Linked DNA regions of Macaca fascicularis. The protein of the gene in region 1 purifies or fractionates together with the protein of each later gene. This does not show direct contact. Links are inferred from orthologs where the notes say so. Each region holds a gene or a part of one and is shown in the gene's direction. Other genes may lie near its edges.

The links.
Region 2: the proteins of UTP4 (region 1) and WDR43 purify together in Homo sapiens (co-immunoprecipitation; 5 studies listed by BioGRID and IntAct, counting the BioPlex papers as one, with this or other methods). This does not show direct contact. The link is inferred for Macaca fascicularis from reciprocal best matches to the Homo sapiens genes UTP4 and WDR43.

The regions. Positions count from the first base shown.
Region 1 is NC_088394.1:65,253,190-65,261,504, forward strand, and holds part of UTP4 (U3 small nucleolar RNA-associated protein 4 homolog), read left to right. Parts: intron 1-1,687; coding exon 1,688-1,859; intron 1,860-1,964; coding exon 1,965-2,056; intron 2,057-5,050; coding exon 5,051-5,147; intron 5,148-5,812; coding exon 5,813-5,877; intron 5,878-7,256; coding exon 7,257-7,379; intron 7,380-8,315. UniProt on the Homo sapiens protein: Ribosome biogenesis factor. Involved in nucleolar processing of pre-18S ribosomal RNA. Part of the small subunit (SSU) processome, first precursor of the small eukaryotic ribosomal subunit.
Region 2 is NC_088387.1:93,298,248-93,306,562, reverse strand, and holds part of WDR43 (WD repeat-containing protein 43), read left to right. Parts: intron 1-357; exon of another isoform or gene 358-442; intron 443-765; coding exon 766-905; intron 906-4,613; coding exon 4,614-4,716; intron 4,717-8,315. UniProt on the Homo sapiens protein: Ribosome biogenesis factor that coordinates hyperactive transcription and ribogenesis. Part of the small subunit (SSU) processome, first precursor of the small eukaryotic ribosomal subunit.

The DNA.
Region 1 (8,315 bases):
ATCATGTCCAGCCACATTACTACTCTTGTTTGGGTTTTTTGTTTGTGTTGTGAGTTATGTTTTTTTGTTTTGTTTTGTTTTTTTCTTGTTTATTTCTTTCATTCTTTTTAAAAATGAGACTTTGGGAGGCTGAGGTGGGCGAATCACCTGAGGTCAGGAGTTTGAGACCAGCCTGGCCAACATGGCGAAACCGTGTCTCTACTGAAAAAAAAAAAATGCAAGCCCGTGCGCAGCGACTCACACCTGTAATCCCAGCACTTTGGGAGGCCAAGGAGGGTGCATCACCTGAGGTCAGGAATTTGAGACCAGCCTGGATGATATGGTGAAGCTTCGTCTCTACTAATACAAAAATTAACCAGGCATGGTGGCACATGCCTATAATCCCAGCTACTTGGAAGGCTGAGGCAGGAGAATGGCTTGAACCAAGGAGGCAGGGGTTGCAGTGAGCTGAGATTGTGCCATTGCACTCCAGCCTGGGCGACAAGAGTGAAACTCCGTCTCAAAAAAAACAAAAACAAAAATTAACCAGATGTGGTGGTGTGTGCCTGTAATCCCAGCTACTTGGGAAGCCGAGGTGGGAGAATCTCTTGAACCTGAGAAGGCAGAGGTTGCAGTGAGCCGGGATCATGCCAGTGCATTCCAGCCTGGGTGACAGAGGGAGACTCTGTCTCAAGAAATAAAAATAAAAAATAAAGATGAGATCTCACTGTGTTGTGCAGACTGGTCTCCAACTTCTGGGCTCAAGTGATCCTCCTGCCCAGTCTCCTGAGTAGCTGGGACTATAGGTTTGTGCTGCTCTGCCCACCTTGTTTATTTAAGAAACTTTCTTATTGGTGTTTCTTGTATTTTTTTTTTTTGTTTGGTTTTTGTTTTTTTTTTTTTTTGAGCCAGAGTCTTGCTCTGTCGCCCAATCTGGAGTGCTGTGGTGCGATCTTGGCATACTGCAACCTCTGCCTCCCAGGTTCAAGTGATTCTTGTGCCTCAGCCGTCCAAGTAGTTGGGATTACAGGCATGCGCCACCACTCCCAGCTAATTTTTGTATTTTTAGTAGCGACAGGGTTCACTGTGTTGGCCAGGCTGGTCGCAAACTCCTGGCCTCAAGTGATCCACCCAACTCAGCTTCCCAAAGTGCTGGGATTACAAGAGTGAGCCACCACGTCTGACTGATGTTTCTTGGATATTTTTAATGAAATAAACATTATTAAGAAACACCTGTTCTAGTTCTAAATAAAGGATTGTCAGTATTTTTATTGGTTTAATACGTTTCTTTAGTGATAATAACTTGATCATGTTAAATATTCCTACTAAATAACATGCTATGGATTTCTTTGTTTAGGTTTTCTCTTATGATCTTTGGAAGGATTTAAATTTCTCAAATAGGTTCTAGGTATTTTATCTCTCAGTGCTATTCTAAGGAGATCTGTGTTGTATATATGAAGCATTGCTGTGTTGTTCCTACTCTAGACGTTGTTAATTTTGTCAGTAGGGGGCGCATTGTTACCAGTGTCTGAGCTTGCTCCTCTGATGGAATCCTTAGCTTCTGGAGGGAAAAGACCCTTATAACTTTCCTACTGATTCTGGGCATAGGTTTACGCCTAAGCTGCTGAGACAGAAAACCTCAGGGAATATTTTTCCAACCAGACCTTGTTTTGCTTACATGTACCTCCTTCATGATTTAATTCCTCAGCAAGAAGACAGTTTTGTGGTGGGCACAGCCGAGGGAACAGTCTTCCATTTTCAGCTGGTCCCTGTGACATCTAACAGCAGTGAGAAGCAGTGGGTGCGGACAAAACCGTTCCAGCATCACACTCACGACGTGCGCACTGTGGCCCACAGCCCAACAGCGCTGATATCTGGAGGTGGGTTCCCCTCCTGGCGAGGCTGCTGCTTTACCCTGCCCAGCTCTGGCTGTTCTCGTGCAGGACGACTTCTAATTCTGTACACCTTCTCCCCTGCTTTACCAGGCACTGACACCCACTTAGTCATTCGTCCTCTCATGGAGAAGGTGGAGGTAAAGAATTACGATGCCGCTCTCCGAAAAATCACCTTTCCCCATGTAAGTGTCCATTCCAAGCCCCTGCCAACCCCTCATCTCCCCATCCCTTTGTCCCCCTGTCCCACAAGGCTCTGAACACAGCTCACGCTTGGCAAATTTGTAGGACTTTTTTTTTTTTTTTGAGACAGAATTTTGTTCTTGTTGCCCAGACTGGAGTGCAGTGGCGTGATCTTGGCTCACCGCAACCTCCGCCTCCCGGGTTCAAGCGATTCTCCTGCCTCAGTCTCCCGAGTAGCTGGGATTACAGGCATGTGCCACCGCACTTGGCTAATTTTGTATCTTTAGTAGAGACTGGGTTTCTCCATGTTGGTCAGGCTGGTCTCGGAACTCCCAACCTCAGGTAATCTGCTTGCCTCGGCCTCCCAAAGTGCTGGGATTATAGGCATGAGCCACCACGCTCAGTCTTGTAGGCCTTTTTTTTTTTTTTGAGACGGAGGCTCACTCTGTCACCCAGGCTGGAGTGCAGTGGTGCAACTCCACTCCAAGCTCCGCCTCCCAGGTTCACGCCATTCTCCTGCCTCGGCCTTCCAAGTAGCTGAGACTACAGGTGCCTGCCACCACCACACCCGGCTAATTTTTTGTATTCTTAGTAGAGACAGGGTTTCACTGTGTTAGCTGGGATGATGGTCTTGATCTCCCGACCTTGTGATACTGCCACCTTGGCCTCCCAAAGTGCTGGGATTACAGGCGTGAGCCACCATACCCAGCCCCCCTTTTTTTTTTAACCATCTGGGACATGGAGATATTGTAGGACTTTCTGTAGCTCCTTCTTCATTCCTTCTGTTTTTGAGGCAAGCCACTGCAAAGACATTTATGGGGGGTAGGAGATATGCAGCAGCACACCTAGTTCAGTTTCTGGGGGAATTTTTCCCTTTTCCAATTAGTTGTGGAATTTTGTTAGTTTGTCTTTCAGAGTAGGCTCTATTCTGGGTGGGAGCAGGAAAACCCAGGCTTCCAGTGTTCTAGGTAAATGGTACCATCTTCCCAAGCTAGAGAACTTGCTCCCCACACCTGCTGCCCCATTCATTCAACCAGTAAACCTCATTGAGTCTACTCATGAGTATCTTTATACATATGTTGTAGAGATAGATCGATTGATCGATCGGTCGATCAACAGCTCTATTGAGGCATATTTGATATATTAAAAACCATACATATTGGCTGGGCACGGTGGCTCAAGCCTGTAATCCCAGCACTTTGGGAGGCCGAGACGGGCGGATCACGAGGTCAGGAGATCGAGACCATCCTGGCTAACACGGTGAAACCCCGTCTCTACTAAAAAAATACAAAAAGCTAGCTGGGCGAGGTGGCGGGCGCCTGTAGTCCCAGCTACTCGGGAGGCTGAGGCAGGAGAATGGCGTGAACCCGGGAGGCGGAGCTTGCAGTGAGCTGAGATCCGGCCACTGCACTCCAGCCTGGGTGACAGAGCGAGACTCCGTCTCAAAAAAAAAACAAAAAAAAAAACAAAAAAAAACCATACATATTTAATGCATATAGTTTGATAAAGTTGAACATAGTCCTCATAATCTCTTGAATCGAGTCATTCATTTCTCTTTGTCTGTGCTGGCATCATCCTAGTTTGGATCAATGTCTTTTCTCATCTGGGTTCCTTTACAGTAGCTTCTTAATCATGTCCTTTTATTTCCATTTGTGTCGTTCTAGCCTATTCTTCATTGATCTTATTTTATTTTATTTTATTTTATTTGTCTTTGTTTTTTTGAGACAAGGTCTTGCTCCATCACCCAGGCTGGATTGCAGTGGTGTGATCTTGGCTCACTGTAACCTCTGCTTCCTGAGCTCAAGCAGTCTTCCCACCTCAGCCTCCTGAGTCGCTGGAACCACAGGCATCCGCCACCACGCTCAGCTAATTTCTTTTTTTCTTTTTCTTTTTTTTTTTTTTTTGAGACGGAGCTTTGCCCTTGTTGCCCAGGCTGGAGTGTAGTGGTGTGATCTCGGCTCTCTGCAACCTCGGTCTCCTGGGTTCAAGCGATTCTCCTGCTTCAGCCTCCCTAGTAGCTGGGATTACAGGCATCTGCCACCACGCCCGGCTAATTGTTGTATTTTTAGTGGAGACGGCGTTTCACCATGTTGGCCCCGCTGGTTTCGAACTCCTGACTTCAGGTGATCCACCAGCCTCGGCCTCCCAAAGTGCTGGGATTAGAGACGTGAGCTACTGCGCCCAGCCTCGGCTAATTTTTTTATTTTTTATTTATTTTTAATAGAGACAAGATCTCACTATCTTGCCCAGGCCGATCTCAAACTCCTGGTATCAAGCAATCCTCCCACCTCAGCCTCCTAAGTGCTGGGATTACAGGCATGAGCCACTGCTCCAGGCCCATTGATCTGTTTTAAAGCAACTTTGTTCATTGCTGCATGCTTCAAAGCCTTTGATTATCCCTGTTGGCTTCAGCATAAAGACAGTTTCCTTAGTGTGTCTTATAGAACCTGTCTCCATCCAGGCCTGGCCCTTTAGCTTCCTGTAGCACCTCTCATGCTTGTAGCACCTCCACCCAGGCTAGCCACTCTCAAGGTCTTTTTGTTCCCGCAAATACTCTTACCTTTGAGCTATGTCACATGCCATCGCCCTCCTCAGAGCATTCCGCCCTGCCTCCTTCGCCTGACTGGTCTTTCCCAGTGAACCTCATCTGGACTTCTGTGTACCACCACACGTCTAGGTTAGAAGTCCTCTTTCCTTAGTTTTCAGTACATACTGTGTTTAGCCGTGTTAAAATTCTTGTCACACTAAAGTCTTATTGCTGATTTAGTTCTGTGTCACCCCTTTAGAAGCATCTTGAGAGCAGTAGCTATGTTTTAATTCATCATTGTGTTCATAGATCCCAGGGCAGTGCCTGGTATATGGGAGTACTTAGGAAATATTTGTCAAGGAAATGGATTTCAGCAGTAAAAAGTGTGCTAAGGTGGTGCTGCTGTATCTGGTACTGAGGCAGTAGATAACCCTGACTTATTTTTTAACTTTTTGATTCTTGGATATAGCGACGTCTCATTTCCTGTTCTAAAAAGAGGCAGCTTCTCCTCTTCCAGTTTGCTCATCACTTGGAACTTTGGCGACTGGGATCCACAGTTGCAACAGGTAAAATGAGAGCACGTTTTTTTCAATAAGAAAACTGGAGAGAGAAGCCAGAAATCAGAATTGTGGTTGGAATTCTGCTTATAGAAAAACTGAAGTAGACTTTTATGTCCATTTTAACTAATGGTTTACCCACCCATTAGATAAAGCAAATAAGTTATTTAGAGTATTAGAATCTTTAGTAGGATATTGAATCATCTCTTAAAGGTTTATGGCTTGTGGTGGTGCGCTGCAGGGTGTAGTAACTGAGAAGAAAACAGGCTGTTGGAAAATAACAAGATTTAATGATGGGTAATGATGATCTTGTACGAAAAAGAAGATCACATGGATCTTATTGGAGTGACAGCCTAGTGGCCTTTTTGTGTGACCTATTAAGGAAATGTGTGAGTCCTCTCTTTTGCAGTGGATTAAAATTGAGGCCACACAGACTCCACCTGCGTGCCTGGCTATGGAATAGAGCTTCAGGGAATTAGTGATGTATCAGAGGTAGAAGCAAAGGAAGTACTCACTGTTTTCCTCTTCATATACACCTCAAAAGTTGTGAGCTTACATTTTTCTGATTTCTCCCGGATAGAGATTCCATTCTTCCAGGGAGTGACTTTTTAGAAGAAAAAAAATGTACAAATTCTCTTTCATAAGAGAAATCTCAGGGAAGTTTCTTGTTTCAGGCAAGAATGGGGATACTCTTCCACTCTCTAAAAATGCAGATCATTTACTGCACCTGAAGACAAAGGTAAGGAAGTTTGTTTAGGCTCTGAAATCTAGAACGTTTTTCCCATTCTGAATTTTGAGGTTAGTTTACACCACAAATTGTATAAATTCTAAAACTATTTGAATGAAGGACTATGTCACCAGGACTGGGTTTCCCGTGATTATAAGTAGGACATTGAGGATTTATTAGATGGATGTATACAGGAAATAGGTTTCTCTTCTTTTGATATTATTATGAAAATAATGTGCATTTATTTATTTATTCATTTGTTTTTGAGACAGAGTTTCGCTCTTGTTGCCCAGGCTGGAGTGCAATGGCGCCATCTCGGCTCACCGAAACCTCCACCTCCTGAGTTCAAGCAATTCTCCTGGTTCAGCCTCCTGAGTAGCTGGGATTACAGGCATGCGCCACCACGCCCAGCTAATTTTTTGTATTTTTAGTAAAGACGGGGTTGGTCAGGCTGGTCTTGAACTCCCGATCGCAGGTGATGCGCTCGCCTTGGCCTCCCAAAGTGCTGGGATTACAGGCATGAGCCACTACGCCTGGCCATGTGCATATTTTTAAAAACTCAAATAGTACAAAAGCGTATACAATGAAAAAAAACATTTTGTTTTGTGAGTTTTTAAAAATTACATAAATGTTACTTTCAACTTTTCTTTATTCTCCAGATTCTTTTTTGTTTGTTTAGTTGGTTGGTTTTTTGTTTGTTTGCTTACTTTTTGAGGCAGGGTCTCAGTGTGTTTTCCAGGCTGGAGAGCAGTGGCACCATCACGACTCACTGCAGCCTCAACCTCCCAGGCTCAGGTGATCCTCCCACTTCACCCTCCCGGGTAGCTGGGACTACAGGTGTGCACCACCATGCCCGGCTAATTTTTTGTAGATCCAGGGTTTTACCATGTTGCCCAGACAGATCTTGAACTCCTGGGCTCAAGCAGTCCTCCACCTCTGCCTCCCAAAGTGCTGGGATTACAGGCACGACTCACCGGACCTGGCTTCCAAATGTTTTTCATTTGCTATTTCTTAGAAGTCTTTAAAGCAGAACGTTGTAGACAAAACAGAAAATAAGTACTTCAAACCACCTATCCTCCTGAGCTTTCCTTCAGTAAATGCCTCCCTGCTCAGGTTTCTGAAGTTGGGGTATAGTATGAGGCTATCTATGAAGTATTCAAAAGGCCAAAATAAGAATAGACCTCCATTCTTGGATTTGGAAATCAAAGCCACGCCTTTTAGGTACTCTGCCTCTGAAATCATCATAGTAACGCAGACCACACGAGGATCGAGATTATGTATAGATATCTGTGGATATGTCCAGAGTGGCAAGAGCTTGAGGCGTCATGTCCCAGTGCACCTCGTTATGTGAAGTTTAATTGTACGTTCATCTTGATTCTTGATATTGCCAGGGTCCTGAGAACATTATCTGCAGCTGTATCTCCCCGTGTGGAAGTTGGATAGCCTGTTCTACAGTTTCTCGGTTTTTTCTCTATCGGCTGAATTATGAACATGATAACATAAGCCTCAAAAGGGTAAGTGATAGTCCAATGTCTGGTCACATAAGAGGAAACTTCCTAAATATGTCATTTTTGTGTGAAGTGGAAATCAACTGGATGTGAATCCTTGCTCAGTTAAAAACTATTTGGAGATTTGGAGAGGGCTGTTACAAAGCTGTTTTATTTATTTATTTTTTTTTTTGAGACGGAGTTCTGCTCTTGTCGCCCAGTGCGGTCTTGGCTCACTACAACCTCTGCCTCCTGGATTCAAGAGATTCTTCTGCTTCCGTCTCCTGAGTAGCTGGGATTACAATCGCCCACCACCACACCTGGCTGATTTTCCTATTTTTAGTAGAGATGGGGTTTCACCACCCATTGGCCATACTGGTCCTGAACTCCTGACCTCAGGTGACTCACCTGCCTCGGCCTCCCAAAGTGCTGGGTGCTGGGGTTACAGGCGTGAGCCACTGTGCCTGGCTTTTTTTTTTTGACCGACTTTCGCTCTTGTCACGCAGGCCGGAGTGCTCCTGCCTCAGCCTCCCGAGTAGCTGGGATTACGGGTGCCCACCACCAGACCCAGCTAATTTTTGTGTTTTTAGTAGAGATGGGGTTTGACCACGTTGGCCAGGCTGTCCTGAACTCCTGACCTCAGGTGATCCGTCCCCTCGGCCTCCCAAAGTGCTGTGATTACAGGTGTGAGACACTGCACCTGGCCCACACCCAGCCTTTATTTCCATTTTGAAGTTTTGAAATATGTTCTTAGAGGGATAGGGTAATGCCCTACAGGCAGTAAAGTTAAGGCTTTTCTGTTTAGTGGTTTCATGTGTGACTTAGTTATTTCCTTGATAGGGAAGTGAATATGTACTAAAGAGATGAAAGGGGGATGTATAGGTTTCTGGAGAGAAACCAGTGTTCTGTGCCCTGAGTCAGTTGGCTTACTTAGAGACAGGGAGCATTAATGTAACTTAAGCC
Region 2 (8,315 bases), on another chromosome or scaffold:
AAAAAAGAAAAAGTTACCTTATAAAAAACAAAATAGATTTTGAGACAGGATCTCTCTCTGTCGCCCAGGCTGGAGTGCAGTAACGCCATCACAGCTCACTGCAGCCTTGACCTCCCAGGCTCAAGCGATCATCCCACCTCAGCCTCCTGAGCAGCTGGGAATATAGGCACTTGCCACCATGCCTAGCTCAAAAAAGATTTTCTTAATAAAAAATTTTTTACTATGTGATGATTATGGTAATTTTGATTTCTAGCCTACATTCAGCATTTAGTCTACTTACTGTATTTGACTGCGGAGATTTAGTATTACATTTTTGGAGGAGGAAAAAGCTTTCACTCAGGGCTTACTGAACATTTGGTGCTGTGATGATGCCTTAATATTGTGGTTTCGACTCACTGAGAGTAAAATGAGGACCTACAATTCCTTGGCTGTGTCTGAGCACCTAAGTGTACGCCTTTTAAAATGGATAGAATTAAGTGAATCTTTAATTCAAGAATGTAAGAAATAAAGGTGCAGAGTGGTAGGGTCATGGGAGTTAGAAGGAACATCTAAATTTTCAGTATTTTCAGATGCATTTTTTTAAGAAGTGGGAGTATTGTAGCACAAATAACCTTATTTGCTTAGAATTGAATTTAATAGTTACTTCATTGTGAAGCTCTCCTTTCAGATATGTATCACATATGGCTTGTTTATGATACATATATACTAATAATTTTTGTCCCTGCTTTGAATCTGCTCTCCTAACTGGGATTTAACTTTCTCTAGCATTTCACAGGACATGCAACGCCAGTTTCGTCACTGATGTTCACTACCATCAGACCTCCTAACGAGAGCCAGCCCTTTGATGGAATTACAGGTCTTTATTTCTTATCTGGAGCAGTACATGACCGGTTGCTTAATGTCTGGTATGTAGTTCTTTTGGATTTGGGAGGTAGCATTGAAAGAATCTGTCAGAGCTTATGTAGTTAATGTAAATTATGACTGTGGGACTTTGTTGTATCTAATACTGGATTTACATTGAGTCATAATAAAGAATTGAGCCTGTCTACAAAACAGATCTTTCTGAGAAAAAAATTAAGTGCATTATGTAATAAAGCCTCCTGTGCTTGTTTAGTGATACAGTGGACTGAATAGTTTTGTGGTTGGGCAGTTTAGAAATAACTTTTAAAAAATTTAGAAAGACCTTTAATTTTGAAATATGTGGCACCACTGGGTTAATGCAGTAATGTCTGTTTATGGAGGGCATACAAATTCCTTGGCTGTCTGAGAATTTCCAGTAACCCCTTTTTGCAGTAGCTGCTATTAACTAGTTCCCTTTGAAACCACTTTTAAAAGTTAAAATCGGGCCGGGCGCCATGGCTTACGCCTGTCATCCCAGCACATTGGGAGGACGAGGCGGGCAGATCACGAGGTCAAGAGATCAAGACCATCCTGGCCAACATGGCGAAACCCTCTCTGTACTAAAAATACAAAAATTAGCTGGGCGTGGTGGCACGCACCTGTAGTCCCAGCTACTCGGAAGGCTGAGGCAGGAGAATTGCTTAACTCAGGAGGTAGAGGTTGCAGTGAGCCGAGATCGCGCCACTGCACTCTAGCGACAGAAAGAGACTCGGTCTCAAAAAAAAAAAAAAAAAAAAAATCAGTGATACAAAGTCATCAAAAAAATTTTTTAGAAATTTCCTGGATTTTATTACAGCATCTGATGGTGAAGTTGGCTTGAAAAAAAACCATCCTGCTGTTCATAGACAAAATAAGTAGAGATTAGAGATCTTTTTAGATCTCTACTTTTCTCATCTTAGTAATAATTAATTGAGCATGCTCTTCACCATGTAGAATTACTATGAATTTATACAAGATAATACTCATTAGAAGTGGGACTCATCCAATATGTATTCCTTAAAAAGGTAGTTGTGTGGGGGTCATAAGTCAAAATGTGGGCCTCTGTTTACCTTCAAAACCACCAGCAAAGCCATAATTCCTAATTATGACTCTTATAATTAAACAGATTTGGTTTTCTGTTTCGTGTTTGATTTTTGAGAAGAGCCAATGGAGATAAATTCTTTTAGTTTTAGAGGGTCTGACAATTACATAAGAAATTAGTGGTACTAAAAAATTAAAATCTACTACCAGCATTCCCTGGCATTACTGAGTTGCACAATCTCAAATGTTTTACCACTTAGGCTGCCTCATACGTAGGAGTCTCCAGCTACAAAATTTCATAATATAAAATAAAAGTTGCTTTATGTTAATCTTAAGAACCTGAATAGTATCTTGGTATAAAGGAAATAAACTTAAAATTAACCATACACACAAAAGAAAAATATTAAAAACCATATTGAAAAGCTGCCCAACGAGCTCTGTAAATTTGCGTGGGGATAGGTAGAGCAGGCCTAAAGTTCCCTGATAATTTCCTTTGAAAGACACATTTCTGTGAGGACATAACATGCAAAGGCTTCTTGCTGAGCGAAGATTAAAAGATCAACCCCAGTACTATCTTCTATTGATTAGTTAAGATACTGTGTATAGTGGTCTGATGGCAGAGATTTTGAACATACATGAATGACTTCATGTTAGAGTGCATCTTACTCAGAATTTTTGCATGAAAACATTTAGAATTCATCAAATCAACTCTTAATTTTCTTCTGGACTCCAAAGAAGCTGGTTTGAGTCATGTTTGTAAATCATGTTTGTTATATATTATTTTTAAAAATGTGTACCTAAATTTTAAAAACAGCTATATTGAAGTATAGTTGACATGTAATGAACTGTACATACCAGAATGTACAAACTGATGAATTGTAACATACATATACATTGTGAAACTCTCACCACAAACAAGATGTTGAATGCGTGTCTTCATGTCTTCTTGTAACCTCTCAGTTTCCAGACTTGTTGACAGGTTTTGGGCCATTACAAATAAAGTTGCTATGGACATTTTTTGTGTACAAGTCTTTATATGGACATGTGATTTCATTTCTTTTGGGTAAATACCTAGGAGTGCAGTGGCTGGATCATATGATAGGTGTACATTTAACTTTTCAAGACATCACCAGATTTTTTTTCAAAATGGTTGTATCATTTTGCATTTTTACCAGCAGTGTATGAAAATGGGAATTCCTTCACATCCTCATCAACACTTGGTATAGCATTTACTTTTAGCCATTCTAATAGGTGGGTAGTGGTATTTTGTGCTGTTAAATTGGCTTTCTCTAATGGCTCATGATGTTAAGAGTCATGTTTTTGCGTTATGGATATCCAGGGATCCCAGTATCATTTGTTGAAAAGATTATCTCTGCTGACTTGGTTTTGCATATACCCCTCCCCCTGTAACCCCGAACATCTACACACACCCACACATCCCTGCACCCACACTCTTATCCCTATATCAGTTCTCATTTATAGTTGTTAAGTCCTATAAAGTCCCCATGAACACTGATTTAGGCAATAACATTACTCCTTTGGGAAATAGAAGATTAGGTTCCCGTGAGCCTCCAGTTATAACATTTTTGTCATCTATTTATTTTTTGTTTATATTATTTATATTGTAAAGATAGCCAACTTGTAACATTTTTGTCATTAATATATAAAACCTTGTTTTATGTTTGTTTCTATTTAAAGATATTTAATGCATATGTTTTTGATTGATTAACTTGGAATTCAGAGCACTACAACTCATGTCTGAGTGAAGCTTATGTAACACATATTTTCACTGTAAGGCACATCACAGCCTTCTTGTGCTTAGGAACACCATAGAACACTTCAGAAGTATGCTTGGGGGCCATTTTAAATAGTGAAATCTCCAAGAAAGCACAGAAATGCAAAAAACATGGTACTAGCTGAACTACTTGTTGATAGTATGAAAACGGCAATGGGAAGGCAGAAGGTAGCTACCTTAGCTGAAGACGTTGAATGTGTTAGGCAACTCCGATTTTTCACTAGTCTACATGACTGAAGGAGCATAAAATTGTCACAGTGATTTTGAGGTTACAAATAAAATTTTGCAAAAGATGAGTTTGCAAATAAGGAATCCATGAATAGTGACAATCAATTGTATACGTGTGTATATATAGGTCTGTTTCTGTGCTCTTTACTCAATACCATTATCATGTTAAATCTCCCCAAATTGACCTACAGATTCAGTGCAGACCCATTCAAAATCTTAGCAGGCTTTTTTGTTTGAGAAATTGACAAACTGATTCTAAAATTCAAATGGAAATACAAATGACAATAGGCAAAATCATTTTGAAAAAGAAGAAAAACATTGGAGGACTAAGATTGATTTCAAGACCTGTTATCAAGTGGCATTAATCATGATAGTGTGGTGTTAGTATCAAGGTAGACAAACAGATCAATAGAAAAGAACAGAATGTTACTCTTGTTTAAATCTGCTACAAATGCATTATTGCTTTCTCTTTTCTCAAGCAACCATGTTATATGGTAGTGACATGGATGTTTCCCTTGTTTTGATCTTTAGTCACTTTACCAGTTTTCAAAAGATGACAAAGCTATTGGGAATTTCATGTGCCGATCTCCCTGCCCCCTTAGGTGTTTGCCTTTTTAGAAAAAAAAAATTAAATCTGTCTTGCGATCTAATTGCTGGTTTTGTTATCTAGGCAGGTCCGATCAGAAAACAAAGAAAAGAGTGCAGTGATGTCATTTACAGTTACCGATGAACCTGTCTATATTGACTTAACTTTGTCAGAAAACAAAGAAGAGGTAAATGGCTCGATTTTTGAGAATTTGTTTTTGGGTTTCACAGATGTTATTTTTACAGTCAAGGTTTTGATGATTTAATGACTTGAAAAAGAGAGAGGACCTGAGGGAGTAACAACAAACTAACAAAATTTAGACTGTTCAAAGGAACTTAAATCACTGTGATAATCTCTTATGGGGGAAGGGAAAATTTTGTACAGGACGGTAGTAAATTCAGGAACTCGTTATGTGAATTAAGAAAAGTTGTTGAGATGGATTTTGTTGCTAGGAGTATGTATATACTATTCTTTAATCAGATGAAATTGTTGGTGATAGATCCTAACTAAGGGGTGTGTGTGTGTGTGTGTGTGTGTGTGTGTATTTATGTATATATACATATAAATCTCTTTTTTAAAACATTTTTTTGAGATGGAGTTTCGCTCTTGTTGCCTAGGCTGGAGTGCAATGGCTTACCACGACCTCTACCTCCCGGGTTCAAGCGATTCTCCTGCCTCAGCCTCCCGAGTAGCTGGGATTACAGGCATGCGCCACCATGCCCGGCTAATTTTGTATTTTTTAGTAGAGATGGGGTTTCTCCATGTTGGTCAGGCTGGTCTCGAACTCCCTATCTCAGGTGATCCAACCGCCTCAGCCTCCCAAAGAGCTGGGATTACAGGTGTGAGCCACTGCACCCAGCCTATATATGTATATATTTTATAAGAATGATGTCCTCTTGTTTGCTGCCTATAAAAAAAGAATTTTTCATGTAAAAATTAGGGATTCGATGATTAAAGGATTAAACCTGTTGTCACTCAAGTACTTGATGTTTCTGTTTGACTAAAGCTTTGCAGGATTTTGATTTGCACAGAATCTCATGTTTTTAATGCAAGTTAAGGATATTTCACTTTTAACTCAGTTTAGTTTTGAAATGCATATTTTGCATTAACCTCTAGGATTTAGAGATGATTTAGACATTTTTCATCATGTTTTAATACTTTGAAAAAGTGTTTTGGGGAAAAAGCATTGGTTTAAAACTAAAAAAAATTTGGTTTAATGTTGTTTCTGGCTGGGTGTGGTGGATAACTTGAGCCCAGGAGTTCATGACCAGCCTGGGCAACATAGCGAGACCCTGTCTCTACAAAAAATAAAAAAATTACCTGGGCATGGTGGCATGCACCGGTGGTCCCAGATACTTGGGAGGCTGTGGTGGGAAGATTGCTTGAGCCTGGGAGGTTGAAGCTGTAGTGAGCTGTGATCCTGCCACTGCATTCCAGCCTAGGTGACAGTGAGACCCCGTCTCAGTAAATAAGTAAATAAATGAATATATACAGCTTCTGTTGCTAATAAACTTGGCTTTCTAATATGAAGTGGGGGCCATTGATGATCACATCAGTGATTCCCTATAAAGATTTTTGTCTTTAAGAAAACTAGTAGGGGCCAGGCGCAGTAGCTCACACCTGTAATCTCAGCACTTTGGGAGGCCGAGGTGGGCGAATCATGAGGTCAGGCGATTGAGACCTTCCTGGCTAACACGGTGAAACCCCGTCTCTACTAAAAATACAAAAAATTAGCCGGACGTGGTGGCAGATGCCTGTAGTCCCAGCTACTTGGGAGGCTGAGGCAGGAGAATGCTGTGAACCCGGGAGGCGGCGTTTGCAGTGAGCCGAGATCGCACCCCTGCACTCCAACCTGGGCAACAGAGCAAGACTCCATCTCAAAAAAAAAAGAAAACTAGTAGGAATCCTACACTTAATTACAATAATGATTTAATGTTATTATAAAGTTGTTGGACACACTTGTGCATATTCAGTGTGATCAGTGCACTCACTATTCTGATGATTGGACGTTCTGATCATAGGGAACTCATGAGAAACATTTTGGTATTTTCCCCTATAACTTTTTTTTTTTTTTTTGAGACAGAGTCTCTCTTTGTCGCCCAGGCTGGAGTGCAGTGGCATGGTCTTGGCTCACTGCAATCTCCGCCCCCGGGTTCAAGCAGTTCTCTTGCCTCAGCCTCCCTAGTAGCTGAAATTACAGCCTGCACTACCACGCCTGGCTAATTTGTGTACTTTAGTAGAGACAGGGTTTTGCCATGTTGGCCAGGCTGGTTTCGAATTCCTGGCCTTGAGTGATCTGCCTGTCTCGGCCCCCCAAAGTGCTGGAATTACAGGTATAAGCCTGTAATTTTTTTTAGACAAAATCTTGCTCTGTCACCCAGGCTGGAGTGTACTGGTACGATCTCAGCTCACTGCAGCCTCTGCTTCTCAGGTTCAAGTGATCCTTCTGCCTCAGTATCCCAAGTAGCTGGGACTATAGGTGCATACCACCACGCCTGGCTAATTTTTGTATTTTTCTAGTAGAGATGGGGTTTTGCCATGTTTGGCAGACTGGTCTTAACTCCTGACCTCAAGTGATCTGCCCACCTGGCCTCCCAAAGTGCTAGGATTACAGGCATAAGCCACCCTGCCTGGCCAAAAGTTTTAAACCTTTATTTGTGTGTGTGTGATTTTTAGAGGTAGGTTCTTTAAGTCTAAATACAAGTAATTTATGGAAGAAAAATCACTTTCCTTGGAGTCTATGTAGAGAATAGACTGAGGGGTGTTTTTGGTTTGTTTTTTTGTTTTTGAGACAGAGTCTCCCTCTGTCGGTCAGGCTGGAGTGCAGTGGTGCGATCTCAGCTCACGGCAACCTGTGCCTCCCAGGTTCGAGCAATTCTCCTGCCTCAGCCTCCTGGGTAGCTGGTACTACAGGCACACACCATCACACCCAGCTAATCTTTGTATTTTTAGCAGAGATGGGGTTTCACCATGTTGGCCAGGCTGGTCTCGAACTCCTGACCTCAGGTGTTCTGCCCGCATTGGCCTCCCAAAGTGCTGGGATTATAGGCGTAAGCCATTGCGCCTGGGCAAGACTGAGTTTTTTCTTTCTCTTTTTCTGAGTGAATTCTGTTGCTACTTTTAGATTTAATTTTAGGTTTGATTCAGAGTTTATCTTGGAATACTGTTGGCATTATATTTAAAATGATCAATAATAAAAGAGGGAGCACAACTGTTTTTTTTTGTTTGTTTTGCTTTGTTTTTGAGATGGAGTCTTGCTTTGTCGCCAGGCTGGAGTGCAGTGGCACAATCTCAGCCCACTGTAACCTCTGCCTCCCGGGTTCAAGTGGTTCTCCTGCCTCAGCCTCCTGAGTAGCTGGGACTACAGGCGCATGCCACCATGTCCAGCTAATTTTTGTATTTTTAGTAGAGACCGGGGTTTCACCATGTTGGCCAGGATGGTCTTGATCTCTTGACCTTGTGATCGGCCTGCCTTGGCCTCCCAAAGTGCCGGGTTTACAGGTGTAAGCCTCTGTGCCCAGCCTTTTAAATAATATTTTAACATATTAAACTAGGAGTGATGGATCAGGAAGCCAAGATCTAGTTCCGGCACTTCATATAAGATTGTAGTTAACAGCAATAAGTTAGAATTAACATTCCGAAACAAAACTGATTATGGTATTGCAGAATAATCTGCTTATTTTATCTTCAAAAATTGCCAGCCTCTCTATAGACAGTTGGAGATTAGATTTGGATGCCTGTCAGTTGAAGTTGCAGAACGGAGAACTAGAAAATTTGATGACGGGG